7 separate regions of the Mus musculus genome follow, and regions 2, 3, 4, 5, 6 and 7 are each reported to be linked to region 1. The links are microRNA targets in miRTarBase. Many come from high-throughput screens and were not tested one by one. Region 1 holds a microRNA gene; each other region holds the end of a gene's coding sequence. Distances are between the middles of the regions.

Region 1 (4,402 bases):
TCTTTATTGGACAGTGACTTTGGAGGAAGGAAAAAAAAGTCTCAGCGCTGACTAAAGTTGAGGCAGGCAGCTGAGGTTCCTAAGGGGTGCTGGTTTTTACCCACCATTTCAGGTTTACAGAGAACACCCCCCCCACACACACAAAAACCCAGTCAGTTTCATCAAATTGCAGGTAATGTGTTATGTATAGGGTGCACTCAAATACAAAGACAGCGGTTTTATTTGTAGCTCACTTCCTAATGTCTGTAGCTTTAGTTTAGGAGGCACTATCCCAATTCTTTAGAGAACCCTTTCCTTGGTGACCATGGCGGGTCACAAAGGAAATGGTTTCTAATCGTGCCTTATTTCTCGCCTCCAGGATAAATTGATCTGGACCTTTGAAATCCAGGCATGGCAAGCTGGGGCCACAAATCTGTGCTTCCCCCCCCCTCCTGCCCCCCCCCCCCACAAAAGTCTTGAGTGCTAGGTGTGGGGGTGGGGTCTTAATTAAATAAAAGGGAACCACCTCAAGAGTCTGCTAAGAATGCACAAATATAATCTGCTGCCCAGACTTGTAAGAGATTAGATATTCAGGGTCAGGGCAAAGCTGCTTACTGGAATTCTCCTGGTCTCTCCCCTCAACAGTTCCATAGCCCAAATGCAGACAGTAGTGCCAAATGGGGATTCACTTGGTCAGAGGATATGTATGTGTTAGAACCCAGGAGCAGCTCTCTGCTTAAGGCCATGCAGTAAGTTACATATGTGCTTGGAAAGAATGGTAGTGAGCTAGTACAGTGACTGCCAGATGTCAAAGGGTAAAGGTGTTTATCACATTCTTCTTGGTAAAGTTTATGCCATTGTCACGTTGGGTGGGGAGGTGTGGAGTGGGGAAGGGAGGGGTGAAGTGGGGAGGGGAGGGGTGGAGTGGGCAGGGGAGGGGTCGAGTGGGAAGGGGTGGGGAGGGGAGGGGAGGGATGGGGGGTGGGGTCAAACCTCACAGTGCCCAGGTTTCCCACCCATGTTTCATTCTGATTTTTGGAAGTGTACAATGTTACCTTGGCTGCTTTTTCCACAGGATGAGAGAGTGGTGGGTCCAAGTAGGGCTCCTGGCTGTGCCCTTGCTGGCTGCGTACCTGCACATCCCGCCCCCTCAGCTCTCCCCTGCTCTGCACTCATGGAAGACTTCTGGCAAGTTTTTCACCTACAAAGGCCTACGCATCTTCTACCAAGGTGAGAACTGGGCTATTGGAGAATCCCAAGGACGTGGGTCGTGTAGGTTTCAGCTGAAGTTACTTATTTTGTGTCCCTTGGTCTGTTGCTCCACAGTGAAGGTGAGGTGAAGGTGGGGGTAGAATTGTGCCTGGTAGTAATTGCAGCCCCATTTGTATTTGAGAAATTACTTTTCTCTTTTGAGCGCCCCTAGTGTCAGGTAAGCTATATAGTATTTCGAGATCTATCTATACCTTTGTTTCCCCCACGCCCCACCCCATTCCCAAATTCATGCACTATTTTCCGTGATTTGTTATATGTAGCTGATAAGATTGACTTGATGACTGCTATTTAATTACCACACTCAGGATATTCAGTTATATTTTAACCTTCATTATTTCATTTTTCACTTAATTTTTACAACAGCATTTGGAGATAGGTGCCATTAACCTCATTTTATAGCTGAAGAAACCGAGAAACAGATTGGAAAAGATTTCTTTTGGGCGGGGGTCAAGAGCAATAACGAAAAATGTTTGTTTTTCGTAAACCGTTTTTCATTATTGCTCCTGACCCCCTCTCATGGGTTATAGCCAGTCGAGTAAGTATGCATTTTTTTTTTTATGTTGGCTTGTTGTTCTTTCCCAGACTTGATATTCAGTGTTACATCTTATTTGCATAGGTTCTTTAGGTTAAATCCAGTATATGATATTTTAATTGCTTTTAATTAAATAATTTCTGAAAACATGCTACCAAAGTTTTATTCCACTAGCAGTATTAATTTCAATCCAGTACTGTTGGCAAGGTATTTTATTGTTTGAATAATCTGAAATATGTCACATACAGAAAAAGTTCCCATCACTATTAGCCCATCTTTGTAACAGTTTGATTTTTTGAGTTGCATGAATTCTGCTAGTATATGGACAAATGGTATAAGCTCAGGTGATCCACTGGGAAGAACTGTCACATCTTAGATATTAGGTGTGATAAATATTGATTAGGGACAAAGAAGTTTTAGCTTGCTGTGATTATAGTATTTTAACTGTTTTTCCTTTTTATTTAAAAATTTGAGTTTTATATTAATGTCAGCGAAAATATGAGGATGTCTACACAACTCTTAAGTGATGATGAACAAACTGTTTTAAGGGTTTTCATGTAAAGCATGCCATTACGATTTAAAAGCGCAGATTAGGAGGAAGCTCCTGAAGTCCTGTCAGCTTGCTTTCTAACACAGCATGGTGATGTCATTCATTTAGTCTGATCCTTTTGACTGGATTAGATTTTGGTGTCGTCAAGGCTGCCTTGCATGCAGTTTGCCTCATTTCTCATTTTCCTCCTAGATTCTGTCGGTGTGGTCGGAAGCCCTGAGATAGTTGTGCTTTTACATGGCTTTCCAACATCCAGCTATGACTGGTACAAGGTAATAATGTTTCTAGGTCTGGCTTATGTCCTAAAAAAAATACTCAAAACTCAAGATATTTTTTTTGTTGTTGTTGTTGTTCTGGTCAGCCCTAGAATTCTTTTGCAGATTTGAACTGTTTGATAAAATCTCATTAAATGTAGAATTGCTTTTTATGTACTGTAAGGGGAGTAAAATACTGACTGCAGAAAGGGACACTGCCAAATTAAAGCTGGAGTTACGCTCTCCGTACAGTGGCATGCAGGCCTGTTTGCTGTGGGGCTGGGCAGTGGGAGCAGAGTGCTCACCATGCTTGCTTTCTTAACAGATCTGGGAAGGGCTGACCCTGAGGTTCCATCGAGTGATCGCCCTTGATTTCTTAGGCTTTGGCTTCAGTGACAAGCCGGTAAGCAGCAGCTGGGTGTGGTCCGTGATGGGGGTAGGTGGGTGGGTACAAATGAGGGTCTGGCAGGCACTGCTAACATCATGTTGTATCTCTGGCTTTCCTTTCCTCAGAGACCACATCAGTACTCCATATTTGAGCAGGCCAGCATCGTAGAGTCCCTTCTGCGGCACCTGGGGCTCCAGAACCGCAGAATCAACCTGCTGTCTCACGATTATGGAGATATCGTTGCTCAGGAACTGCTGTACAGGTCAGTGAAACCGGACTTCTGTCCTCTGCACAGGTGTCGTAGCTTTAGATAATGGGAAACTCAAGTATTCTGGGACCATCACACCTCTAGGGGTCGTCTGCAGCCCTTGTGGGGAGTCAGTTACTGAGCTACATGTGTCTTTTTTTCTTGCCCTGCTCCAGGTACAAGCAGAATCGATCTGGCCGGCTCACCATAAAGAGTCTCTGTCTGTCGAATGGAGGTAATTGCCTTGGTGGTAGGTGGAAAAGTAGGGTGTAGTTTCAAAAAGTCACCCTTTTAAGTCACACAAGAAAAAAAATTTAAAAATAATCTGATATTATAAACAGACACCATATATCGGGCATCTTTTACCTTCATTGTGCCATGAGTAGTTTTCATGGTTGATGGTATTTATGGAATACATATTTTCAAATCTATAGCAAATAAAAGGATAGCCATGATGGCAGGAGCCTCAATGGGTGAAGGGGCTTGTTGCCCAGTCTGTGGATATGACTTTGATTCTGGAACCCACGTTGTGGGAGAAGATTGATCCCTCTGGGCTGTCCTCAGACTTCCGCATGTGTCTTGGCACGAATATATACATAAGCACAATGAACACACATTTTTGTTGTTGTTGTTTGTTTCTAAAGAGCCAGGTGCAGTGGTGCACACCTTTAATCCCAACACTTGGGGGACAGAGGCAGGTGGATCTCTGAGTTCAAGGCCAGCCTGATTTACATAATGAGTTCCAGGACAGCCAGGGCCTGGAACCCTGTCCTGAAAACAAAAACAAAAACAAAAACAAAAAATAAAGGAGCTATCACAAATGTGATTCTATTGATCTGGCTGGTAAGCTACATTAATAAACTCTTAATTGGTGGTAGTGCCAGGTGCCAGCTGGGAATGAGTCTTACCATTTGGAAGTTTTGGGATTTTGTGTGTGTGTGTGTGTGTGTGTGTGTGTGTGTGTGTGTGTGTATCTTTTCTATCATGGAGATGCTCATTAATCCAGAAATGCCCAAATGCCCCAACCTGAATGCCTCCAGGGCAGCCTGGGACAAGGGTAGTGGGTCCGTCCCTTTATCAGTGGAAACAAAGAGTGATTTTTCTTTTACAAGAGCCTACCTACAGAAACATACACGTGTTTGCAGATGAGCTTGTTACTACCACTGTGCTCTGAGCACTG
Region 2 (4,402 bases), not on the chromosome of region 1:
CTTTCTGAGTTTGGGACACCATGCTTAGTATTATACTTTGAATATCTCAATAGATTGATTTTTTTAAAAAAATCCATATAGTGGCTCTTTTCCCAAAGTTAGACAAACAAAAAATAAAATTGAGTTCTCAGTCTCTTTGGAAAACTGACAAATTGTTCCTCATTCTTATCATTGGTTTTCTCACCCCCATGCCTTTGTTAAGCCTTGTTTTCTGATCTATGGCGTGTATGGGTAATGAAAGGAATGGTAGTTTATATGGAACAGGACTTCACACCCCGGGACCCAAGGAAGCCAACTGATTTGTCTAACCTTGGACCCCTGATCCCTAGACATCCCAATGACATATTCTTACAGAAAAGTTTTTTTTTTTCCCTAGGGATCAGTTACTTACCTCATCAAACATTCTTAAACCCAGACATTTTGAAAGACTAGTCATAAGGCTTAAATCATAGCGTAGGAGAGAAGAACTCATGGGCTGAATGACACACAGAAAATGGAGTGATGTCTTCAAGAGGCCACACAGCAGAACAGGATCGAGTAACTGTCTAGATGCAGAGTTGAAGGGGCAAGGGAGGAAAATTCCCAGTGTTTTCAGTCCGAATAACTTGATGTGGGGCTGTTTTATGTCCTTTACCGATACCATAAGATTTAAGGGCTATTTTCCTAAACAGGAGCACATTTGGTGTATATTCATTTTAAATAGTAATGGCTGTGGAAGGAACTGCACTCAACTCACTGCCTGAGCTGTTTTCTCTTTGTTACACAGCATTCCGGTGTCTTTCCATCCTCTCCTCCTTCTGGACTCTCCGATGAGCAGGAGCCCCAATCGCCCTCTCCTTCACCCAGCTACATGTGGTCCTCCAGTGCGCCACCCCGTTATTCTCCACCCTACTACCCACCTTTTGAAAAGCCACCACCTTACAGTCCTTAAAGAGGAATACCTGTCGGCTATTGAGATTATTGTGGCTTTTGTATTTCTGCTCTAGTGGAAGTGTGTAGGTTACATCTAAAGTGTGACTCTTCTACATCAAGTTTTACAACAGCTTGCCAAGCTAGGGAAAGATAGGGATGAAGCTTACTCATTATCAAGGAAGGACAGGATTGGCTAGGCCAAACCTAGTACTTCGAAGAAAGCAAGTTCACTAAGCAGGGCTGGGGAGCCAGTCCAGCAAGAAGCATGGCTTCTTCAGATACGCATTTCCTGATGCTCCGCCTCTATACAGTACAAGTGTGGTTGCCATCTGTTTCACTTTAAGTAAACGACAGCAGTCCTCGGGCCCTTGGTAGATGACTATGATAGCACCTTGGTTGAATCACCTGGTCTATAGGCTCTATCTTTCCCTACAATTGATGTCACTCTTAGGAAAATTTCGTAGCTGATTGGGCTACACAGTAGTTCCAATACAGAAAGTTGTGGCTTTTTGTTTGCTCGTGTCTGGATATTGAAAAAAAAAAGCTGCCAATCTCTTTACTCTGTTCTCCAAGTCGTGTAAAAATGGCTGTTGTGATCATTCAGCTTTTGTGGCTGGTACCTCCTAAGGGGAAAAGTGCAAGAGTCCCTTCTCCTGAGTGGTGAGAGACCATGACCGGCTGATGGAGAAGCACGGAAATACAGAGCAACATGTGTGCTGTTTTCGGTAGATCTCAGCATACATCTGGCAACTTAGGAGACAGTGTTCCTACTATATGTTGCATTATTACAAAACACATTTGCTACTGGAGATAGACATCTTACAGTTGAAATTCAGAGTTTAAAAATGCTAGATTAGATTGGATCGTGGTATGAATTGTTACTTATCTTTGTGACTATTTAATCTTCAGCTATTGTGCTTTCACCCCAGCAAACCGCACGGTCCTGCACCCCACCACTGAAAACTCATCTGTATTTTAATGCCACTGCTCTTATTGGTCCCTTTTTTCTGTTGAGATCAATTGTGACAGCATTCAATTCAAGATTATGAAAATGCTACAATGCCATTTCAAGTCTTCAAGACCTCAAATATAGCCAACTTGACAAACTCTTAAGTGTTACGCATTTAAAAGTCCACCGGGCATAGTGTGGTAGTTATATAGTTGTTTTAATGATACAGAGCTTTAAACCATCAAACTGTTGAGACTCTAGCACCCATGCCTTCACTCCAGCATGAACACATTCACTGGGATTTTATTTTAACCTGAGAAATGGTTTAAAAGAAGATTGATAATCCTACACTTGTATTATGTAAAAGTACAGGAGCTACAGAGGACGCCTAATTAGACAGTTCTGCAAACACAAGAACACACACTGGAAACATTTCCAGCCCATTTCGCTGCCTCCCTTCTTTGATGGTTGGAGGCAGCAGACCAATGCTGGTGCTCCCATCTACCTTGTAGACACCTGGTCATCAAGAATCACCAAGGCACAACAAGTGCACTCACTGTTACGGTAAATGTTTGCAAAACATTCAGTTTAACTTTCAATGTCTCTTATCCAGTCTTCAAATCCAAAAGACTACAATCCTTTTATGTTACACAAAATTACTGTTATTTTTTCAGTTCTGAACATATTAAAATTCTATTGGGCTTCAAAAAGGACTAATAATCAATTGACTTATAGAGATACCTAAGGGTTTTTTCTTCTCACTTACACTTTACCCCTTGCTGTAGGGAATGTGTGTATTTTAAAGGCACCATTACAAAGTATATCTTTTATGATCACATTTCTTAAAGTGTTAAGATTCTATGACTCATTTCTATGTATTTTTTTTACTTTACAAAATAACTTGAAACAGTATAGATTTTGTAACACTTAATTTGAGCAGCTTTTTTTTTAATCACATTGAATTATATCAAGTGCATGCTACCTTAGGAAAAATTATATTTGCTGCTTCACTCTTCTGCAAAACATTTGCTGTAATGAAGGAATTTGTATTTCCAATGTATCTTGACGGCATTTTATAACATTTACTGCTTTCTTCCTAATTCTGCTCTAAAGTATTGAACTTGGCATGAAATATTAAAATATTAATTCAAAACCTGTATAAAATAGATGTTGCTTAAAATTTGTATCACTGCCACGTTGGAAACCCAGACAGCTTTTGTGATGTTTCAAATTAATAAAATTATCTTCCCTATCCACTTACAGGTATTCTCGTGGTGTGTTGAAAAGTACAGCAGGCACTCTAAAACAACTGGCAATGCCAACTTACTTTTAACTGCAATGGTTCAAGAAACAATGGGACGTGCTTAACCAAAACACAGAACCTAATGACAATTTCTGCCATGCTGTCATCACAAATACAGCTTCTCTCCTGCTATGGAAAAAACCATGAAACAATAGGATTGAAAGACTATTCAATTCATTTACCACAATCTTGCAAAAAAAATCACTCAGAAATTAGAATGAATATGTTTTATTTTGTGATAAACTCTATGAACTAATATCAGGTAACAGTTAATGAAAAGCAGAACTTATGATAAGGAAGATTGTACAAATATGAAAATGTACAGTAATTGGGGAAATGAACAAGGTTTCATATGACTAACAGAGGTAAAGAAGCCAGTGCTATTGAATTTACATTTAATTCCTCAAAATGCACACACTATAACATTTTAAATGCCTACAGCAGGGTTCATTTGTTTTTATCTTTTTAGCCCAATTGAACAAATTCTTCAGTGACTCTGAGTGGAGGATAGTGACCACCAAAATGATAACAAAATTATCCCTATTTAATCTTGCAAGAATGCTATAACCTTTTTAAAATGTTGGCTTATACTTTGAACAAATTTACTATTTCAAATAGATTCTACCAAAAATAACTACAGATAATTTAGAAGTTGAGTGAAATTGAAGCCAACTTGAAAGAACAGTAAAAAAAAAAAAAATCAGTAGTCAGAAAGCTAAGTAGAAAAATATTCACAGTAGATTTTAAATAGCATTTTGCTACAAAATTCCAATCTAATAATGGCTAGGAGTAAAGAGTTATTGTCCAGAGGAGTATTCCACAAAAACCTCTCAAGGTTGGATATATAAAGCTATTTAAAAAATCCCCGAACACATGGAAGAGTCTTCCTGGCAAAATTACAATTTAACTTTCTAGTTCTTGTCCTCCCTGCAAACTCTAGAAGCTGCTTTTCAGTAGGCACAAAGTTTAAAAGTTCTTATTAGAGACTTGACAGAGCAGAGCACAGCAGTAGTAGTGAATCATTTGACCAATGTTATTCAGAACAGATAGTTTTTCATTATAAAATTCCCAGTTTGTTGTAATAGGCTTGTAGGAATTAGCAAGTCTTATTATGACAAACTGATTTTACCTAGCAGTTGACACCAAAACATCCTTATCACCGACACTGGTAGAAGCAATTATGTCTAACTGCTGAGACTGCATTCATGAAACACATTTTTCAATTGAGAGCTGCTTTT
Region 3 (4,402 bases), not on the chromosome of region 1:
CAGAGATGCTATGGAGCAGGAAGACGCTGGGCCCGAAGTCCTGCCGGAAGTCCTGGCGACTGAGCATGTTGGTGCCCGGGCGTCTCCCTCACAGGCTGACTCGGACGAGAGAGAAAGTCTGACAAGGGAAGAAGATGAAGACAGTGAAAAGGAGGAGGAGGAGGAAGATAAAGAGATGGAAGAATTACAGGAAGGAAAGGAATGTGAGAACCCACAGGGGGAGGAGGAGGAGGAGGAGGAGGAGGAAGAGGAGGAAGAAGAGGAGGAAGAGGAGGAAGTGGAAGCGGATGAAGCCGAGCATGAGGCAGCAGCCAAGACTGATGGTACAGTGGAGGTTGGAGCTGCACAGCAGGCAGGCAGCTTAGAGCAGAAGGCCAGCGAGAGCGAGATGGAGAGCGAAAGCGAGAGTGAGCAGCTGTCTGAAGAGAAGACAAATGAAGCTTAGGAGTTCTTCTAAAAGGAAATTCTACTTGGTAATGAAATTTGCTCTATATTACCCACGCTTTTCATGGAAACATGGCTCCATGGCTCCTGTGCTATGGTTCCTGCTCACTACTGTGTAATGTCAGAACTGAAAAAAAAAAAATTCCGGGTGTGCCTGAACCTCAAACCTAGTAATTTTTCATGCAGTTTTCAAAGTTAGGAACAAATTTATAACATGAAGCAGCTTAGAAAACATTAATGACTCAGAAAACAAAGGTTTCTCAGCAGGTTACAGGAGGCTGGATGGGCGTCCGGCATGGCTAGCAGTATTATCACTCTTACGTTGGCTCATTCTTAAGCTCTACAATGGGAGAAATTTTATAATTTTTTTATTGGTAAACATATGCTAAATCCGCTTCAGTATTTTATTATGTTTTTTAAAATGTGAGAACTTCTGCACTACAGAATTCCCTTCACAGAGCAGTAGAAAGCAGTTCAAACCGTGCTGGCTACCTGCTGCTACCCAGTCAGTCAGGAGATAGGACCTCTGACGTTAGATGCCGTGTTGCCATCTAACATGTATTGCTAGCCTTAAGGAAGCAGCCAGAGAAGAGCTGGAGTTTCTTACTCGTGTGATTTTTAAATGGAGTTCAAAGGTTGTCGTTGAGTCCTGACTCCAGGGACGACCAGTGTTGATGTGGCAAGGCCGGCAGAGGCGGCAGAATCAGTGTTCGTGATTGTTTGCGTACGTTAGCAACCATGAAGGATCTATAGGAAGCAAGCGCTGTGTCCCTTTGGCCTTAAGCAAGACCTGTGCTCTAAGTGCCATTCTCAGTATTGCAAGGCTCTGACAGCCTTCCCGCAGTGTGGCCTATATTAACTAGCAGTTGTTGATTCGTTTGTTGTGTCAAAATTCCCAAACAAAACTCAAAACCACTGACTGTGAGAGAAGCTGAAGCACTGGGGCATCTCACACTTTTGTTCCTCAGTAGTCATTTCATGTTGATTGACTCTCAGAAGTCTCTACAGAAATAAAAGGGAAATTCTCCAAACTACTTAATCCATGTACTTGCGTGTCAGGCATGGATACGCTATTGGTTTTTGGTTCACAGCCGTTTTCCAAATGTTAGTTATTACGGACCCAGGTGATGAACAACAGCAGCTGATTTTTACCTACCAGTATTATTTTATTTCTTTTAGTTTATAGATCTGTGCAACATTTTTGTACTGTATGTCTTTAAGCCTGGCAGTATTAATACCCTTCTTACTGACACGTACTTTTAGTTTTAGAAAACTTTTATATTTATGTGTCTTATTTTTATATTTCTTTATTTATTACACAGTGTAGTGTATAATACTGTAGTTTGTATTAATACAATAATATATTTTAGTATGAAATTTTGGAAAGTTGCTAAGATTTACAGTAGAGATGCAGTTGGTTCCCGTGCGTTGAGATTTGATTTAACAGTGTTCTGTTAACATTTATACTTGCCTCCGACTGTAGACCAGCCTTTAAATGGGAAGGTATTAGTTTTACAACTACAATCAAGTCATTCTCCCTTTCCCCAGTTTTTAATAGGAAACTCTTACACTTTGACACTCACTGTGTGCGACTCATAGCATGCCGCTCTGCAGTCTTCTGTTAAGAGTTGGCCCAGCCATAACTCATTCCCTTAGCAAGCCAAATTAGAATTGCCTTCTGTAAACAGTGTTGGGAACAATGTTTAACATGTGCCAATTTGTTCCTGTATCCATGTATGTAAGCTACCAATCTGACTCTTCCTTTTAAGTTCCTTGTTACACCATGGTCATTTTCTAGTTTTTTACCAGACTCCCCAGCTCACAATAAACGCATCAACAAACCTGACCTGCTGTCGTTCTTTGGATCATCAAATTTCCTTTGGAAAATTGTCTATGAAGTGGGCATTACATCCTAGAGCTTCATTCATCTTGAGCTGAGTTTGTTGACACAAAGTATTTGAGACACTTAGCACAAAGAATGCCTTTTCCTGTGGGGGAAATTCCCTGAGGAAGCCCTCTGCACAGGTTGTCCCTTCTTCCAAAACCCACAGAGCAAGAGCCTTCCCCTCAGGGAACATCAGGGCTGTGCAAGCTTAAGATGCTTTTTGCTTGTACTCTGCCACTCTTTGAACCCTTCTCATTCAGCTCAAGGACTGTCACTGATGTTCCTCCCCATGTCATGGTCATGCCTCATGTGCCCCCTGCCCATGAACTGCCTCTCAACAGACATTCATTGAATGAACACAGAAACTGCACATTTGCAGAGCTTAGCTGTGCTCACTGTTTTGCCTCTAATCTGAAAGTTCATAAGGTAAATGATTCCCATAATGTGCCGGTGGTCTTGTTTGAGTCTTATAGGCACTTACCATAGGAGATGTAATAAATGACTGCCTTGGAAGCTGCTCTGTTGTTGTGATGTGTGGAGAGCTTATTTCTAGGTGTCTTTCGGGTGCTCAAGTTTATGGTACGGGGTACAGGCATTGAAAGCTCAGGGAGGGACTACCTCGAAAATACTTGATAGACCTGGTTCTGACAGAGTTAGGACACACATCCTATGCCAGGACCCCACATTCTTACAATCTTGTGTGCTCCCCATCTTCCCACACCACAGCCCTTACTTCCCCTGTGTCCACTGTCAGCAGACTGCCTAATTTCCTGTCCCTAACACCAGCTATACCAAAAAAAAAATGTACTGTAAAGGTTATGAGATGCTAAAGTACCATTCTTAGGGGATGTCCACTACTCATGAAAGTAAATCTTGGAGAAGATGGTGCCTCATCCGTGAGCCTAGAAGGCTAATGAAACTAACCACATTATCAGGGAGCAGGTCTTTCCAGTGCCCCCTCACACCAGGAAAGAGTGGCATTGGTGTCCTGAGATGCATCTGCCTTGCTGCTTTTATCAAGATTATGTTTCAGAGAGCCTTAAAACTACCTGGGAAAGCCATATGGCCATAGCCACATGAAGAAGACGTAGAATGGGGCTCTGCACACAGACCTGTCTGACTCCAAGGACATGTCTCTGTCCAGCCTGCATCACATGTCATGTTGAGGTGGATTCTCCTGGCCTAGCCCTAGGCAAGAGGAATAGAAAATACCCCTGAGAGCAGCATGCATCCTGGCAGAGGAAGGTGGAGACTTGGGATTGTTCTCAGTTTCCAGTGCAAACTTGAAAGATAGCCTAAGGGAGGGAAAGGGGTTAAACTCACAGAGAAATCTAATCCTGGATTCCACCTGAGATCACCGGGAAGCTATATTAAAGCAACCATGTATTAATTCTACCTCTGACAGAACTTCAGACCTACAGACACACCTCTGCCCAGTAAAGACAAATTCACCCAGAACACACATTTATTTACCTCAATAACTCCTGGGTCATTTACAGGGAAAAAACATAGGGCATAACAGAATTCTCACTTTTGAGATGGAAACCAGCCTAACTACTCAGTGGTTAAAAAAAAAACACCCAGAATGCCTGACGACCTGAGTTCCATCCCTAGCACTCCAGAATCCCAGAACCCACAGTGGAAGGAGAAGACCAACTCTAATATTGTCCTCAGACCAGCATTTGCATGCCATTCATGCACACACATAAACTAATCATAAAATTGTTTTAAAACACCCATAGATCAGTAATAAATACATTTTTAAATCATCTAAATTATTACAAAGCCATATCAAGTTGTTCCTGATGAAAAATATGACTCACAATGATGGCATCTTATGTCAAAAATTGTAGTATAAAGTTAAGTGATATGTACAAGAGAAGGCACAGTGTTAAATGCTGACAACAGGAGAGAACAAAGGACTCATACAAGCCTCCACCTCAAACTGTACAAGTAAAACACAAAACAGGAGAGAGCCGATAATAAGGAAAAGAGAAAACCGTGACATAAAAAAGCCATGTAAACCAAGTCAACCTCTGAAAAGGTAGATTTCTAGCCATACAGTCCGAGGTA
Region 4 (4,402 bases), not on the chromosome of region 1:
GTGCATGCTGTGCAAACGTGGGGACTAGAGTTAGAATCCCAGCATCCGTATAAAAGCTAGGCATGGTCATGTGCGCCTATAACCCCAGCACTGTGGAGCAGACAGGCCGATTGCCAGGGCGCATTGGCTGGCCAGCCCACCTGAAATTGCAGCTTCTGGCTCAGTGAGAGATCCTTCCTCAAAGGAAAATAGGACAGATATGGACAGAGGAAGACATTTGTGGTCCTACTCTACTCTACCAAAACACACACACACACACACAGTGTACGTACGTATTTAAAAAAACAAAAACAACAAAAACACAAAATCCCACAGAAAAACAGGGTCTGACAAAGGCAGGCATCCTCCTGCCTGTGAGTCCTGAGTGCTGGGATTACAGGCATACACTGTCAGACCCAACCTGTTTTTCCCTTTATTTCCTCTTTGTGGCTTAAGTGATGTAGAACATCACTGAATACCTGTGGAACTATGTCTTAACAGGAGCCTTTGTTTTGTCCCCCTTACTCAGAAAAGCAGCACTGGACTGTACTTCAGTTTGACACTTCCCTACCCGCTGGACGACTGGACCACTCCATGTGTGTCATCCCATGGCCAGTGATGTCTACCTCTGAGAATAAAGACTCAGATTCTGTCATTCTAACCCTCCAAGATGAGAAAGGGGACGCTGCTGAGAAAGCAGAGACCCAGAGTGGAGGACCACACGAGGAGAGTCCAACTACTGTGTTGCTCTGCTTTGTGTTCGGTGGGATGAACACAGAAGGGGAGGTTTATGACGACTGTCTCGTAACTGTAGTGGACTAATAAAGCCCACATTTGTATTACTTGTGACTTTTTACAAAAGTGAAAACTCTGCCGAGCTACACTGCCAAATACTTTTTGCACAATATATTCTCTCATCCCAGTGCGGTGGTGCACACCAGGCATAGTAGCACACACCTTTAATCCCAGCACTTGGGAGGCAGAGGCCAGCCTGGTCTACGTGGTGAGTTCCAGGACAGCCAGAGCTACATAGTGAAACCCTGTCTTGAAAAACCAGACATAAAAAGCATATCCATCTTGCACTTAATCAACATTTTTAACTGGATAGCCTAGTGCAAATAATTCCATTATAAAGTTTTACCAGCAATAAAATCTGTAGATACCCAAGCTAGGTATTGGAGTAGACAATTACGAGTTAGACACTCTTTAATATGTATTAGCGAATCACTAGAAAAAAGTACAGGCAGGAGGCTAGAAAGATAGCAGTTACAAGAGCAGTGTGGGAGATCCTTATTTGGTTCATAATCACAATGACTGGGTGTTCACAGAATATGTACCTCCCCTAAACCTTGTTCAGGTGTGGGCATATTACCCATCTGGAAAAAAAAAAAGTAAAAAAAGAAAAAGAAAAGCTGGGTGTGGTGGTGCATGCCTATGTAGTAGGACCCTGCTGGTAATGGGGGACAAAGGATGAGGACTGGCTCTTGTTATTAACCATCCCTGGACCCAGCATGAAGTTGTACAAATCAATTTTAACATTTCACTTGGCCCCAAATACTTGTGTTTGATAGAAAAATCTGACAGCATAGGCTGGCCTCAAATTTATCATCCTCCTGCCTCGGTGTCCCAGTGTGCTAGGATTACAGACATGTACTATATCATGCTCCTCTCTCCCCTTTTAGGAAGTATGAATGGGAGTAAGACAGATGATGTAGAAAGAATCTCAAGGTGTAACTGTGAACTTGCTATAATCCTGCCTCAGTCAGCCTCCTGAGTGAAGAAATAAGTAGCATGAGCTACCAAGCCCAAGCTGGGTTCAAAGTGTATCAGGTAGTGTACAAAAATGAATCTCAAGAGTGAGACGGGGACTGGAGAGATGGCAGTGCTCTTCCAGAGGTCCTGAATTCAATTCCCATCAACCACATGGTGGCTCACAACCATCTGTAATGGAATCCAATACCCACAGTGGACTCAAATAAATAAAATCTTTAAAAAAAAAAAAAAAGTGAGACGGGGTGGGGGTGAGGCTGGCAAAGTGGCCCAGTGGGTAAGAGCACCAGCGCTCTTCCGAAGGTCTTGAGTTCAATTCCCATACCACATTAGCCCTGGACAAAAATCTTCACTGATCAAGACTTACTCTCAAAAATAAACAAGTCAATTTTAAAAAGTATGCTTCCATTATTTGGTTCTAACAGAAGATGGTTTTTATACATCTTTATGATCAGCAAATCATTCTTAACCTTGAGTCCTTGACCATATTTGGCCTTAGACATCTAAATCTGAGTAGTAAGTAGAGCACTCTACTGACCAACTGAGCCAAGTCAAGTGTCCAGTCTACAAGATCATGATAAACCCCAGGGATTTTTGCCTACAGCTGGGGAAGACAGGCCTCAGAAGATCTTAAAGCCACCAAGCTGGCTTCTTGATCTTGGGAAAATGATAACCACAGTATAAACATATTGCCTTATCTCCTTCCAAATGTACTATTAATAAAGAGTTGCAATGTAGTCACACACAAGAAAAGTCTTCATTGATCATATAGATTACCTAGATCATTACTCTCCTGATGTTGCCAGTCTAAACAATCCTCTCAACCAATCCTTTGACCATCAACTGACGTTTGTAATATCAGGGTTGCCATATACCCTATCCCTATACCAGTAAGACATTTTAGAAAAAGGGGTTCTGACCAATTAGGCTTCAGAGCATGTTTTGGTTCATGTAGCTCTCATGAACTACATAACTGAATCTAGTATTTAATTAATCCTGCCTCCAGCCTGAGTCACTACATCCAGTATGTGGTGCTGAGTATCAAATAAATCCAGGGCTTCATACATGCTGGATAAGTAAATCCTCAAGCTGTTAAATAACTTTCAACCAAACGTCTTCAAATATAAATTACAAACCAAATACTACCCAGTGATATGGACTCTTTAAGTATATCACAGGCCTGTGGGTACACACAAAATATAAAATACAAGTATATTTAAATTTTTTTCCAGTCCAGAGGATTAACAACACTAGGGCTTCACACTAGTGCTAGGCAACGCTCACCACTGAGCATGCACCAGCCTCAGATCCCTAGATTGGGCTTGGACTAAACACAGCCTGGAACATGATCAATTTATTAAGAGATTCCAGGCAGTACCACAGCACTACTTGTAACAAAAGTCAGAAAGGGCCATGGTGGTATACACTTTAATCCCAGTACCTGGGATCGAGAGACAGGTGGATCTGAGTTCAAGGCCAGCCTGGTCTACAGTGTTGAGTTCGAGGACAGACAAAGCTAAAGACCTTATCTTGAAAAAACTAAAAGCCCAGAAAGCAATTTTACAAAGGGGAAGTATGATTTCAACCATGTTCAAAAGAATTGGACTTAGGCATCCTGAAATAACCCTCGCCTAGGGGAGTAAACAGCAAACATCTCTACATTGTTATAAAGCTAAATAAATCTCCAAGAAGTGGTACCACCCCACAGCATCACAAGCCCCACTTCCCTGCCCACCGAAGAAAGACACACCTGAGAATCCAGTCTTAAATTTTAGTTATCTAAAATAAAAGATGGATATAATTACAAACTTTTCACAAAAATTAGACCAGTGTAAATAACAAACATTTATTGGTGTCACTTATGGTAGAAAAAAGTTCCTACACCACATGTGCATGACCCAATTGTTAAATAGACCATATCCAAGGTGAACACACACCCTGACCCACCTTTTTCTCAATTTTTAAAATAGCCAATTCCTCCTCTCCCTGACCCCAAGACATGTGAGCAACTGCTAATGAAAAGCAGTAAACAGCCACTTGGGCTATAGCATTTTCAACTCCACTCTGAGGTGAAGATTCCAATTACATTCGAGACTTAAGTTCTCTCAATTTTCTCCCAACGAAAGTTCCTGAGTCCAGTATTTACAATATTACAGCTCTAGCAGATCAGTGCACCTACAACTCATCTTTTTCTGATGTATCCTCTTCACCAGTTGGGGGAGGGCCTCCACTTCCATAGAGTTTGCTGATAATTGGCTGAACAATTTCTTCTAGTTCCTTCTTTTTGGCTTTAAAGTCTTCAATGTCCGCATCCTGGTGGCTTTCCAGCCATTCAATCTTTTCCTCTACAGCTTTTTCCATGGTTTCTTTATCTTCAGAAGAAAGTTTACCTCCCAGCTTTTCTTTATCTCCAATCTGGTTCTTGAGAGAATAAGCATAGCTTTCCAATTCATTCCTGGTGTCAATGCGCTCTTTGAGCTTTTTGTCTTCCTCAGCAAACTTCTCAGCATCATTAACCATCCTTTCAATTTCTTCAGGTGTCAGGCGGTTTTGGTCATTGGTAATTGTGATTTTGTTTTTGTTTCCTGTACCTTTGTCTTCAGCTGTCACTCGGAGAATACCATTAACATCTATCTCAAAAGTGACTTCAATC
Region 5 (4,402 bases), 27 Mb from region 1:
TGAAGAAGGAATATTAAAAACATTTTTGTTATAACCTTGTACATACCCATTTCTGAGGTTTTAAATGTTAAGGTAGCTTATACAGTGGTAGGTTTCTAGCCGCACTTTCATACAAAGATGTTCCTATATTTTGTTCCTTTTTATCCCTCACCCAATCTCTTCCATTTCTTGGGCTATACTCCTACCAGCAGTTTCATTGGTAAGAATCAGCATTTATTAAGGCTTGCCCATAATTGGTACCATGCTAAGGGCTTTGGGTGTGTCCTCACTGGGAGCACAGGTAATTTCTATTGCCAAGATTGCTACAGTGGAGCATAGGATATAGTTGAACCATCTGAAATTCATATGCACTTAATAACCATATGGCACATGGTTACAGGGTGAAACCATTCCAAACCTTGTTAGGTAGTTACATTTGTATCGTAAAGTGTGTGTAGAACCAGTTGGCCTTCCAGAGAAAGGATGCTGTGTGATTGCACAAGGTCCCTTGACTCCAGCGCCTGTCTCTTCTTCCCCACTCCTGCAGGCAATACAGTACGGTACCGAAGACAACAGCACTGCAGTAGTGGTGCCCTTTGGTGCTTGGGGAAAATACAAGAACTCTGAAATTACCTTCTCATTCAGCAGAAGCTTTGCCTCCAGTGGGAGATGGGCCTGATCGACAGCTCAGACTCGGAGTTCCTATGCAGCAGTGTCAGTGGGCTTATCAAGAAACTGGTAACACACAGAAGGCCACCTGTACCCGTGTGTCATTGTGACTGATCGATCCTAACAGTATAAGCTTACCAGCCACATACCCAGTAGTATTTTCATAAATCCTCATCATCATTATGGTCAACTGCACATGCTCAGTGTAAGCATCATAACACAGCTGTGAAGCCGCTGTGCATCTCTGAGCTGAATGGGAGAAGAAGCGGTTTTGGTCCATTTGATGAGTGATGAATCTGTGTTTCCTTTGTAAGGCTAGAGATTGAATCTGGGGCTTTCTAAGTTTTTAAGACTAAGAGGCAGATTTAGTTTCTTTTTAGTAAGTTTGTTCTTTATTCAGTTGGACAGGTATTTTTTTTTTTGAATTTTGATAGCTGGTCAATGTGTTATTTGCAAGTGTTCCTTTTTCCTTTCTCTGTAGAAAGCAGGTTTTCACTGGCTGACCTTGAACTCCTGGGTTCAAATGGTCTTCCTAACGTCAGCTTCCTGAGTACCTTTTAATTTTTTTTTTTTTAAAGCAGAACAAGCATATTTTTTCCCAAGAAGAGTGAGAACATATACCTAGGAGATGGGGGCATTCCAAGGGAGGGATACAAGGGATATAAGAGATAAAGGGATACAAGGTACATTTTAATAAATGTACCTAGGAGTTATAATAAAGCCTAGGTTCTCTATGACTGAATAGTGTACTCTGGATCACTTATTAGTAAATTTAACCCTGCAAAATACATGGCTAAAGTGTATACATATTTATAAATAGCTCTCTTGTGTATTTTAAATATTTTTAGCACTTCCCCATCCATTTCTATTTTTGTGGAGTTAAATATGCTATATATTGGTAACTGTTCGGTAAGCTCCAGAGAAGAATATTCTGAGGCTTTGGTCAAAATCTGTAAAGTGAAACACTGACAGTGCCAATCTTGTGTAAGTTTGTTGCTGTGTGGTTTGTATGTAGCGTTTTTATACCACTTTCTGTGCACACAGTAAGCGAGTTGGGGCCTTTGTTAGTAAAGATAATATTACAATGACTTATACTGCTATAGACATAGCTTGGGGTTTATGTCTCCAATTTCCTCATTTCTAAGATTCATGCGGAAAAAAAAATCTTTTACAAAGGATATTCAAACATGTCAGCTTGCTATGTAAATTAGGGGTGTAAAACCACACTCCTTTTTACCTGCATATAAAATTACTGTCAAACTGTGAATCCCTGAATGTGTGCTTGTAGTTAATCTATATTTTCACAGGGTAATTTAAATTTAGTATATGTGCAGTGAGTGTATATATGTATATTTTGAAGTAATATAAAATTAAAGGGAACAATCTTGTGGCGCATTTATCAGCTAGCTGTAAATTATTGATATATTTATCTCTAAGGACACTCAATAACATTGAGTGTCAAATTCTCTGTAATAAAGATTCAGTTGTTACTGGTAGATAACCACTATGGATTACAAATAAATATGGGGGCCAGTATTGGTGGCCTCTACCTATAATCTCAGGACTTAAGGAGGAGACAAGAGAATCGGGATGGTAACTTTGAAATTAGCCTGAGCTACAGAGCAAGTTCCACGGTAGCCTGAGCCACAGCTTGTCTCCCCGAACAAAGTATCAGCAACAAATGGCTGTAAGAGACATTTTATTAGGTGTCACGTATGTGGATAACCAAAGAACAGAGGCAGACATATCGTTGTGTGGTAATTCGAATATAAAGTTATGGGATATGAGAAGAACAGGAAATGTCAAAAGTGACTTGGAATTTTATGGCAGAAAACAAAGGAAAAATAATGAAATATATATACCTTCAAGTCTGACATGTTTTCTGCCTTTAACTTTTGTTTAAAATATTTAGTAGAAATAAAGAATAAGTTCTCAATAAAGAATTTAAGGGGGCTGGTGAGATGGCTCAGTGGTTAGGAGCACCCGACTGCTCTTCCGAAGGTCCAGAGTTCAAATCCCAGCAACCACATGGTGGCTCACAACCATCCGTAACAAGATCTGACTCCCTCTTCTGGTGTGTCTGAAGACAGCTACAGTGTACTTACATATAATAATAAATAAATCTTTAAAAACTAAAATTAAATTAAATTAAAAAAAAAAGAATTTAAGGTCTTTTCATGGATGTCAGTTGAAAGAAACAATGCTTTTCCAGACATGTTAGCTTACATGTGCAGTTCCAACATCTGGGGAGGCTGGGGCACAGTCATCCTGAATAGCAAGAGCCCAGGTCAAGGGACAAAATACACGGAAGAGAGTAGAGGACGTGCTCACTGTCCGAGGAAGAATGGGGAGACTAGCAGAGCTTAAAGGCCTTCTTGTTGAGTCTGGTGTTGAAAAGTTATGAAAACAACGTGTTTGTTTGTTTGTTTGTTTGTTTTTTTGTTTGTTTTTTGGTTTTGGTGTTTTTTTTTTTTGGTGTTTTTTTTTTTTTTTTTTTTGGTTTTTCAAGACAGGGTTTCTCTGTGTAGCCCTGGCTGTCCTGGAACTCACTTTGTAGACCAGGCTGGCCTTGAACTCAGAAATCTGCCTGCCTCTGCCTCCCAAGTACTGGAATTAAAGGCATGTGCCACCACATCCTGGCTTGAAAACAACTTTTAAGAGTATGGAGAACTTGTAAACTAATATGCACAACAAAATTCTCAAACATTAAAAATGACAACGTGGTGTGTCTTATTTGTTTCTGTTTTGTGTTCTTCACATTGCTGGTCTCCCTCCCCCCTTTACTTTGAAACTAGGATTGAGAATGACCTTGTGATGTTCAGAGGTTTGAGGGTCATTCATAGATGAAGGCGAGTTCCAGACCTGACAAGGAGGAATCTGTAGATGATGGCCTTGGGCGCATTTGAGCCTGTTTCTTCTGGAAAAAGCTTTTGATGGTGGCGGTGAGGTTAGGAGTGTGTAGGTGTGTGTTTAGACAGACTTGTTTTAACCTCCTGAGTGCTGAGATTATAGGCATCTGCTTTCATGCCTGATTCTACCTGAAAGAAATTTAAAGCCCAAATTCAGTCACCCTTGATTAAGCATAAAAAGTGCTGCTCTCCATAGGGACTGGGCTGCATCCTTTCCTGTAGACTTTCTTAACACACATTTGTTAAGATCAAACCTGATAAAACTACATGTTAATATGAAAAATACATGTGTCTTTATTTTCTAAGTTTTTGTATTAAAATGTAATTTAAAGAGTATATTATAATCCTTTGTGATAGTTTATAATCCTAAATTCTTAAGTCTTTTGTCAATTCAGAAGTAAATGTGTCTTGCTTCCTGTCAGCTGTTCATGTGTTAGGATTCTTTGTGTCTCTTAGCTGCTTCAAATCTAGGCTCTGGTCCTCATCTGGGGTCAAAGGATCCCTTAGGAGGGGTCAGTTTTGCTTCTGATTGTTATATGACATGAACTTTCCCATATTATATCATTTAATAATTTTTATTTTGAAGAGGTAATAGCATATAATCTAAAATACAGAAATTATTTAAAATTTGACTATTAGTTAATTTTCTAAGACTGGATATGGAATTAATCTCATGGTAACAACAGGTTTTCATGTTATGAGAATGTTTCAGGGTGGGACCTGGGGAGTTCAAGTTTGGAGTTAAATAAACTCTAGCCATGTGTTTGTGTTTTCCATTACTGTGAGGGTTCCCCATATTCCTGTGCATGTAAAACACAGGGCCATAAGATTTGGGCTGTTCCCTT
Region 6 (4,402 bases), not on the chromosome of region 1:
AAATAGTACCATTTTTGAAAAGGGGGCAGAACTCCTTTTATTTGTAAGGAATGATCTGAACAGTATTTTAATAATCATTTTTTGAGATTAGCACTGAATATATTTTGAAACAGCTGTGACTTTGTTTCAGACCCGGGAAGAAGGTAAGGCCTTGCTCCGCCAGATCCTACAGCTGAGGAACCAAGGGGAGACACCCACCTCTGACACGCCGGGTACCTTTTTCCTCCCTGCCTCACTGTCTGCAAACAACACTCCTACACGCAGAGTTTCTCCACTCAACCTGTCTTCAGTCACACCATAGTCGACTACCCTCACGTCAGCACATTGCTAGACCAATATCAAACCTTACCTGCAGTAAAGAGCAGTCACGTCTGTTTTCCCAAGGACCTAGACAGAAACAGCCTGAGGGACAGCCTATGGAACCACCTTCAGAGGCAGGCAGAAATATGGTGGGGGAAAGATGGTCTTCTGCAGCCAGCTAGCAGTGCTCCCTTCTATTCAGAGTGGCAGGTCTTGGCCTTTCTAGCCACTCCCCCAACCCCCCAAGGAATCCCTTTTACAACACTTAACCAGCAGTGATGCCACAGAAGCAAGGTTTCGGCGCTGCTGAGAGGGGTAGACAAGAACGGAGCGAAGCTCACCATGCTTGGTGCCTGTCCTCTGCATGCAGGGAGCTCAGCTGTGACTTTCTTTTTAAAGACAGGGTTTCTGTGTATCCTAGCCTGTGGCCTTTCTGCCTCAGCCTCCCTAATGATAGCATTACAGGCGAATGCTGAGTGAGGCCTAACTAGAACGACCTTTATGTTACTGAGTGTACTGTTCGGATAAGAGATTAGGTTTAGAGTGGAGCTATCCATATGATCTTGTGTAGTTTTCCAAAGCAGCCTTCTAAAATCTTCCAAGTGAGTCAGTGAGTATGGACTGTGGCTCACATGAGGGCCAGATGGCCGCTGTGGCCATGCTAACTATATATATATGTGATGAAGCAACACAAGAAGAGAACTTCGTGGACATTATGGAAGCTTTTTTACTTCGGATTTTAAAGTCTCCAATTTGGTTTTCAACCTTATCTACAAGGTTGAAGAATTCACTGTGTTTTTCTAGGTTTCAGAGCCACTTGATGTCTGCTACAATGAGCTTGTGCAGTAGGTGCTATAGATCATTCTGTGGTTAGGAGCTAGCCTTCCTTCTCTTGTACTCAGAACATTTTACTCCCCATTTAATGGAAGGAACACTAACTGGGTGCCATGTGGTGGTGCATGTCTTTAATCCCATTTGGAGACAGGCAGGTGGGTGTTTTGACATAGCAACTTCCTGGCCAGACAAAGCTACCCAAGCCTCTTGGGTATCATTTAAAATTGTACTCATTTCCTAGTGTGCATTAGGCTGGTTCCCACTGCTGTTCCTGTCCAAGGGTCTAACAGGCCAGATGGTATTTATATCAATTTTCTGTCCCCCTTTTTATATTTTTCTAAATTTGGAATCCAAATAAAAGCATAAACAATGTCTTTATTCCATATAATATTTGTGCATGAAAAAAAAAACAAGATTACATAGGTGATTATAATACAATAATTCTGAATACAGTTCTGGGTGTATGCTGAAGCTTAAAAGAGACTTATCAGCTAAGCAGCTGACCAACCTCAGGGCAACAACCATGCATCTTCATCCCCACAACTTTAGTATTTTTTGCCAAAGGGAGATTTGAGTAAAGGAGAGTGCCGTGAGCGCAAGATCCGCGCATAAGGGCTGCTGTCTGTTGAGCTTTGGCAGGTAGGTGTTCGGGGAAGTAAGTTTCGCAGGAATGGTTTCTTTCCTGGGGGTTGATGATTTGGTTGCTGGTTTTCCTGGTTTGCTCCCAGCCGCTTTTTGGCAGAGGCTTGGCCTTGGAGCTTTAGCACAGTGTGATACTGCTCAGCAATGCAGGCTGCCTTTTTCTGAAGGTCCAGTTTCACTAGCACCATGTTATTCTGCAGCTCAGCCAGGGTCTGGTTCTAAGAACATTAAAAGTTAGAGAAAACATAATTATTGGGTATGCCATGTTTAGTTTAAAACATACATTTATCATTTAAGAGATCAGGTACCATTAGCAATGAGAAATGCCATAGCTTAGTGGTAGAGTGCCTGCCTGCTTAGCATACAGAAAGCCCTGGGCTTTATATGACATTAGCTTTATTTTTTCACTGGTTCTTCTCTCCCTCTCACGTACACACTGGCTAGGCTGCCCTCACCTGCTTGATTAAGATGTCATCACAGTTGGTTAATGCTTGACGAAGTTTTCCTGCTCCGGTGCTGTGGCAACAGGCTCTTTCTGCTGACTGCAGAGACTGTCCTAGTTTCTGGAGCTCTGTCCGTAGCAGTCTTATATTCTGAAAGAGTAGAAATCAGATTGTGGCCAAAATCAATCAACAGCCATTTGAAGACAGACTTAAGGAAGCCGGAGGCTGGTGAGCTGGCTTAGCTGGTGAGGGCACTTAGCACCCAACCTCGACAATCTGAGTTACATCTAGGACCCACATGGTGGGAAGAGAGAACCGTTCTTCTGGCTTCCACATCACTACATACAAATAAATAAATGTAAAGCAGAAGGCTTTCATTCCTCAGACCCTTGCAAAAAGAAAAACGCCTTATTCTCATTTAAACCCCTGACACAGGCCTTTGAAAGACATTAAGGTTAAATACCTTCTGGCCCTCCTCTAACTTCTTATCCACATCAATGGTGAAAGGCTTGGCTGGGGGTGGCGGTTTTAACACTTGCTGATACTTGTGCAGCTCTGAGGGGAGAAACACAGGACATATAGATAACACTTAATGCATGGGTTTTTCAGCTTTGGGCTTTAACAGCAGCAGAGTGAGATCTGGGTAGATATGACCCAGAGGTGGAGTCAGGACTGAGTTTGAATGCCAGCTTTCCCTCGCCCACTCTCACTGCTGGGCTTCCTGCCTTCCTCACCTGCAGTGGTAGAGCTTAACTCTGTTTTGCATTGCTCTAGTTCAGCTTTAACTTCCTGGAACTGCTGAGTGGAGGCAGACGCTGCCAGCCTCTGTGACCGCCGGAGGAGGGACAGCCCCCCTGACTGTTGTGCCGCTGGCTGCTGTTTGGCTTCCTGCAACAGAGTTTCTAGCTCTTCAATTTTTTCATCCCGCTCCTAAGAGGGAAGGAGAGAGCACAGTTGTCCAGGGTCAGACAAACGCCAGAGGACCAGACTAAAAGAACCTAAGCATCCTGTCCGTACCATTCACGCTGACGTTAGCCTGCAGCACACTTCATACTGAGCTCATCCCTCAACTTAAACTCAATAGCTGCACGATACTAAGGGAACCTAATAAACATTAATTATAGTATATACTACTGTTCTTTCTAGAGTTTATAAAACTTAGTTTGAGGCTGGCCAGAGCGACAATAGTGAGACCCTATCTCAGAAACCCATAAGATGCTGGCAGTGGCGGTGGTGGTAGGTAGTGTGTGCCTTTGTCCCAAGCACTTGGGAGGCAGAGGCAGGTGGATCTGAGTTACGGCCAGCCTGGTCTACATACAGAGTGAGTTCCAGGACTTTGTTTTTGTTTGGTTGGCTTGGTTTTTCAAGACAGAGTAAAAGTAGACATTTGTTTGCTCTGACCCAAATGATGGAAGCCGAGTGGCTGTTGAGACTGGCCAGGATAAACTCACCTGGATCTGCTCTTGGTAGAAAGTTGTCAGTGATTCCTTCAGGATCTTCAGTTTCTCCTCGTACAGTTCCTCCATCAGTTCCTTTTGGTTGTCCAAACGCTCACTGTCAGAAAGTGGTAGTGAGGATCCTGAGTGAAGCTGGAGAACAGAGCCTACACCCCACTGCTGTCCCTGTCACAGGGGCTGGGCTAGCAGTACCTGCACCACTGCTCCCGCTGTTGCATCTGTTCCACCATTTCGTTGCAAATTTCCTCTCGGAGCTGTATCTCCAACTGCAGCTTTTCTTGTCGTTCTTTTAAAAGTAGCGCTTTCATGGCTTCCACCACCTGGAGTAGTTCCTAGAAGACCACACCTATGAGCCCCCCTGCACTTTTTAAAAAGCCCCATATCGACCAGGACACCTTGTAGCACATGTCCAGCCACCAAGCTGCCACAACCGAACTGCCTTGTGTCCTCACCTCCTTGCCATACACGGAGACGTCAGCTTCGTCTTCAGGACTGTCCTCAAGGTCTGAGTCGGCCTTGTCCTCTTTCTCTAAGCCAGGGCCAACCTGAGGACTGTGCTTCTTGATGAATGAATGCAGGGATGGGATTCCCAGATGCACAGGTGGGGCGTGCACAAGCTGGAAGGGGAAAAAAAATCTCAATTGACTCCTTAACTAGAGCTATTTGTTTTTATTTTTCGAGGCAGGGCTTCTCTGTGTAGCCCTGGATGTCCTGGAACCCACACTC
Region 7 (4,402 bases), not on the chromosome of region 1:
AGGAAATGATTTGTTTTCAATCTTTTTAGGAGTGGCGTTTTCTTTACATGAAGTGCACTGTCTAAATTGTGAAAGGATAAGTAAATTCTATCATAAATGTACAATGTGTTTTTCTATTTCTTGGGAGAATTGAAGGAAAAATCTCTCTCTCTCTATCATCTCTATTCATCCATATACTTATCATCCATTCATCTATTTAAGTACATGCATATATATGTGTATATGTGCATATATATGTGTATATCTTTGCATATATATATGTACTTAATCCATCTCTCATCTAAAATACTTTTTAAAAATATATGGTAATAATTGCACTATATTTGAAGTTTTCTGAATAATTGACTATATTCTTGTGGTCACTGGTTTTATTTCAAAATCAGTCGAATGCCTTTACTCATTTTCTAGAGAGGCATTACACCATAGTTCATTCTAGTTTTAAGTTCAGCTGAGTTCAGACTCTATTCTTGAAGCTCCTTCTTTTGAACTGGGCTTCATCTGTAGTATCTTCCTGGAGTGTCCTAAGGTAAGCATTAAACATTTCTGCTCCAGTGATCATTGTTGAAATGCGGGCAAATCCATACAGATCCAAGTCTGGCTTCGGAGAGTGTGGGTCAGGGGTTGTAGACTATCTACAGCGTTCTGAGTCTGTGACTAGTAATGGGAAGCTGGTGAAGACAGCCTGACATTAGCAGACGTGCACCTCAAAAATGTTGTTGTTCTCTCAAACAGAGCAGTTCCAGATTTACTAGTGCCCATGTTATGGATGGAGAGAGTCACAGTAATGATGGTGACTGTGGCAAGAAATAAGCACCTGTGTTCTGAGGCCGAGAAACCCCGCACCTGTCCATCAGGGCTTCAGAAATAAGTGGCCAGCTTCAATATACTCTTTGAAATGCTGAAAAAAAAAAGCTGTAGTGTATTCTTTGCATTTGTTTTTAAGTTTGAGAAAACATATGGTCAGCGTTGACTGCAGTGTTGATATTGAAGTTTAATCATGAATACATAGCATGTGAAGTGTCCACTCTTTAGGCTTTATAAGACGATTAAAGTGTTCTAAGGAGAAAGCACATCCTAAGCTTGGGAAGTGCATCACCCCTTAAGCTTCCTATTCATCGTGATAGTAATGGAGCTTATCGATGCATTCATGACTGTGAACATGCCTTTGAAACTGTCAACCACTTCTTGTACACGGTTAGAATTTTGAACATTTATCTGGGAAGCTTCTAACAGCATACTCTGTCAAGTCAACTTGTACATAGTATTTGTAAGTACTCTCTATGAGAACATTCAGAAGATGTTTTAGTGTTTGACTCATTCACTTTGTCCCAGTTGTGTGTCGAACTGAAGAACAGTTTGTTGACTGTACTAGGAAAGAATGCATTAGTACTTTTCATCTCTGTCCATCTCTCTTTGCACACTGAAATAGTTTTCTTTTGAAGCCATAGCTGCTGTTCAAGTCCTTTTTTTTTTAAATAAAGAAAATATATTGCACCAACATTTTGAGCCATATTTCGTTTTATTGGAATTGCTTATTTTATGTCTCAAGAATCAACAACATTGTGAAGCTCTAACAGGACTAAAATGAAGGAACTTACATTAAGGGAATCAGCCAAATTGCACTGATTGTTTTTTTTCCATTTGTCCATAATGGTGATTGATATTAAAACCACCGGGCTTAGGAAAAAGAAATGCCCATTGATTGGAAATATTTCTTTCTTTTTTTTTTTTTTTCCTATTACGGAGTCTTGTACCCAATGTCAAGCGAACAAGGACTCTTCATTCTCTTTCCTTCCACTCCAGTTCTTTCACTTTTTTTTAAATTAGGTATTTTCCTCATTTACATTTCCAATGCTATTCCAAAAGTCCCCCATACCCCCCCAACTCCCCTACCCACCCACTCCCACTTTTTGGCCCTGGCATTCCTCTGTACTGGGGCATATAAAGTTTGCAAGTCCAATGGGCCTCTCTTTCCAGTGATGGCCAACTAGGCCATTTTTTGATACACATGCAGCTAGAGTCAAGAGCTCCGGGGTACTGGTTAGTTCATAACGTTGTTCCACCCATAGGGTTGCAGATCCCTTCAGCTCCTTGGGTATTTTCTCTAGCTCCTTGGAAATATTTCTTTTTTCTTTTTTAGCTTATTCTTTTTTCTCCTTTATTGAAAATAACTCTTTCCTCTTATAACATATACTAAGATAAAAATCAAAATAGGATGAGACAAACAGGAGGAAAAGAGCCGAAGAAACAGAGATGCAGAGACCCATTTGCTCACACAATTCCATAAGGAAACTAAACTGGAAGAACCTGGAGGGTTCAAAGAGAGAAAAAAATATAAATAAACATATAAATAAAATAAAAATAAGATAAAATTAAACAACAAAACAAAACAAAACAAAATTCAACCAACCAACCAAAACCCCTAAAACTATGAGATGGTTATGAGACAGGAACCTCGGATTATTCTGTTTGCTGTCTAGATGACCCGCACAAGGATCAAGCTTCTTTGATCCTTGTATGAACTATTGATGAAAAAGCACCCTGGTGACCCAATCTCCACTCAACAGCAGTAGCAGGGAATCAAACTGTCCTCAAAGGAACCTTTGTGAGGGACACTTCATATTCAAATTGTGACATAAGGTAATGAAGAGAAGGCCAGAGATAAGAAAGATCTCGACTATTTGTATGAAATCCACTACTGCATGAAGGAAAAAAAACTCAACTCAGACTGTTTTTAAAAATTAAAGATGTTCTGGTCTAATAATATAGTTCAGTGACGGGACATTTACTAAACACCTGAGGGATTCTAAATGCAATTGCCAGTGTTCAAAAATAATAAGTATTATTATTACTTTCTTTTTTTTTAGACTTTATTATTTTAAAGTGTGTGTGTGTGCGTGTGCATGTGTGTACAAATGTAAATTCTGTGTCTGTTGAGGTCAGATTCCCTGGTGTTGAAGGTGGTTGTGAACCACTTCTTTTTTTTTTTTCTTTTTTTTTCCATTTTTTATTAGGTATTTAGCTCATTTACATTTCCAATGCTATACCAAAAGTCCCCCATACCCACCCACCCCCACTCCCCTACCCACCCACTCCCCCTTTTTGGCCCTGGCGTTCCCCTGTACTGGGGCATATAAAGTTTGCAAGTCCAATGGGCCTCTCTTTCCAGTGATGGCCGACTAGGTCATCTTTTGATACATATGCAGCTAGAGTCAAGAGCTCCGGGGTACTGGTTAGTTCATAATGTTGTTCCACCTATAGGGTTGCAGATCCCTTTAGCTCCTTGGCTACTTTCTCTAGCTCCTCCATTGGGAGCTCTGTGATCCATCCATTAGCTGACTGTGAGCATCCACTTCTGTGTTTGCTAGGCCCCGGCATAGTCTCACAAGAGACAGCTTTCTTCTTATCGATAATAGATTATTTTTCACATAATGAATCCTGATTATAGTTTCCCATCTCCCTAGCCACTCTCAATTCCTCCCCACATCCCCTCTGACCCAGATCCACTTCTTTCCTGTTTCTCTTTAGAAAACAAACAGGGTCCTAAAGGATAATGATAAAGTGAAATAAAATAAAGGAAAATAAAAGGAAATAAAAAAATAAGATAAAATGAAAGTAACACTTGGAATTGGAGAAGACAAAGGAACAGAAGGGAAAAAAAAAACCAAGGTAAGGCACAGGAATCAGAAAACCATTCATTCACACACACAGAAATCCCATAAAAACAGTAAACTGGAAGGCATAATATCTACACACTCTGTGAGGATCTGTAGGGTAAAAAGAGAGAAGGAAAAAAGGATGAAAATAATAAGATAAGGTTAAAAATGGGGAAAAACCTGATATGACAATTGTGAGACAAAGAACCTTCAAAAAGGCCAATGAATTTGTTTTCTCTTGGTCATTTACTGCTGGGAATGGAACCTAACATTAAGAGTAGTTTGTTTCCTAAGTGAGACTCCCTTAGAGAACAACTAAATTTTCATTTGCAAGAGGCTATCAATTGGAGAAAGCTTCTGGGTTATGGAGGTGCATGTCCCATTTTCCTTTCAGCTCTAGGACCCCATCTGGAGCAGACCTGTGAAAGTGCTGTGAGTCAATCCTACTGATGCAGAAGACCATGTTTTCTTGATGTCTTCCATACCCCCTGGCTCTTACACTCTCTTTTTATTATTAATTAATTTATTTAATTATAGCTTCCCATCCATCCTCTCCTAATCTCTCCCCCTCACCTCACCTCCCCACCATCCTTCCCCCCAGCCAACCTTGGCATATCAAGTATCAGTAGGACTGGGAACATCTTTTTCTATTGAAGATAGACAAGGCAGCCCAGTTAGAGGAAATTGACCCAAAGGTGGCTAACAGAGTCAGATACTTAATAGCTCCTGCTATTAGGTTCCCCACA

What was found. The annotated mature microRNA mmu-miR-335-3p reads UUUUUCAUUAUUGCUCCUGACC and lies in region 1 at 1,739-1,760, shown strand. An mRNA with a match to its seed (bases 2 to 7 or 8) in the 3' UTR can be bound and repressed. Matches are read on the target gene's strand: a 7mer-m8 pairs with bases 2 to 8, a 7mer-A1 pairs with bases 2 to 7 and ends in A, and an 8mer does both.
Region 2: miRTarBase lists Tmem255a as a target of mmu-miR-335-3p. Seed matches in the 3' UTR shown: 7mer-A1 at 1,444-1,450 and 7mer-m8 at 1,958-1,964.
Region 3: the mRNA of Zeb1 is a reported target of mmu-miR-335-3p. Seed matches in the 3' UTR shown: 7mer-A1 at 573-579.
Region 4: miRTarBase lists Rabepk as a target of mmu-miR-335-3p. Seed matches in the 3' UTR shown: 7mer-A1 at 1,026-1,032.
Region 5: miRTarBase lists Ppm1k as a target of mmu-miR-335-3p. Seed matches in the 3' UTR shown: 7mer-m8 at 3,049-3,055 and 8mer at 3,833-3,840.
Region 6: miRTarBase lists Cdc23 as a target of mmu-miR-335-3p. Seed matches in the 3' UTR shown: 8mer at 1,532-1,539.
Region 7: miRTarBase lists Opn5 as a target of mmu-miR-335-3p. Seed matches in the 3' UTR shown: 7mer-A1 at 900-906.

What each region holds. Positions count from the first base shown.
Region 1 is chr6:30,739,616-30,744,017 of GRCm38, forward strand. It overlaps Mir335 (microRNA 335), which reads left to right and starts at 1,684; the gene lies at 1,684-1,781. It overlaps Mest (mesoderm specific transcript), which reads left to right. Exons shown (of 12, transcript NM_008590.2): 2 at 1,055-1,209; 3 at 2,526-2,605; 4 at 2,913-2,990; 5 at 3,101-3,237; 6 at 3,399-3,457.
Region 2 is chrX:38,196,021-38,200,422 of GRCm38, reverse strand. It overlaps Tmem255a (transmembrane protein 255A), which reads left to right. Exons shown (of 10, transcript NM_172930.4): 10 at 767-3,126. The coding sequence ends at 931. Zbtb33 (zinc finger and BTB domain containing 33) reads right to left here. Exons shown (of 2, transcript NM_020256.2): 2 at 3,377-4,402. Among named protein-coding and RNA genes, the nearest start is that of Zbtb33, 8.4 kb to the right of the region's middle.
Region 3 is chr18:5,772,622-5,777,023 of GRCm38, forward strand. It overlaps Zeb1 (zinc finger E-box binding homeobox 1), which reads left to right. Exons shown (of 8, transcript NM_011546.3): 8 at 1-2,847. The coding sequence ends at 445. Among named protein-coding and RNA genes, the nearest start is that of Gm34740, 120 kb to the right of the region's middle.
Region 4 is chr2:34,775,636-34,780,037 of GRCm38, reverse strand. It overlaps Rabepk (Rab9 effector protein with kelch motifs), which reads left to right. Exons shown (of 8, transcript NM_145522.4): 8 at 509-1,372. The coding sequence ends at 801. It overlaps Hspa5 (heat shock protein 5), which reads right to left. Exons shown (of 9, transcript NM_001163434.1): 9 at 3,509-4,402. The coding sequence ends at 3,925. It also overlaps the pseudogene LOC115489640. Among named protein-coding and RNA genes, the nearest start is that of Hspa5, 5.7 kb to the right of the region's middle.
Region 5 is chr6:57,506,974-57,511,375 of GRCm38, reverse strand. Ppm1k (protein phosphatase 1K (PP2C domain containing)) reads left to right here. Exons shown (of 7, transcript NM_175523.5): 7 at 527-4,402. The coding sequence ends at 658. Among named protein-coding and RNA genes, the nearest start is that of Ppm1k, 26 kb to the left of the region's middle.
Region 6 is chr18:34,629,893-34,634,294 of GRCm38, reverse strand. It overlaps Cdc23 (CDC23 cell division cycle 23), which reads left to right. Exons shown (of 16, transcript NM_178347.4): 16 at 131-2,612. The coding sequence ends at 301. It overlaps Kif20a (kinesin family member 20A), which reads right to left. Exons shown (of 19, transcript NM_009004.4): 13 at 4,129-4,293; 14 at 3,869-4,008; 15 at 3,671-3,773; 16 at 2,954-3,149; 17 at 2,683-2,774; 18 at 2,232-2,369; 19 at 1,018-1,994. The coding sequence ends at 1,680. Among named protein-coding and RNA genes, the nearest start is that of Kif20a, 7.2 kb to the right of the region's middle.
Region 7 is chr17:42,553,877-42,558,278 of GRCm38, reverse strand. Opn5 (opsin 5) reads left to right here. Exons shown (of 7, transcript NM_181753.4): 7 at 733-1,496. The coding sequence ends at 810. Among named protein-coding and RNA genes, the nearest start is that of Opn5, 55 kb to the left of the region's middle.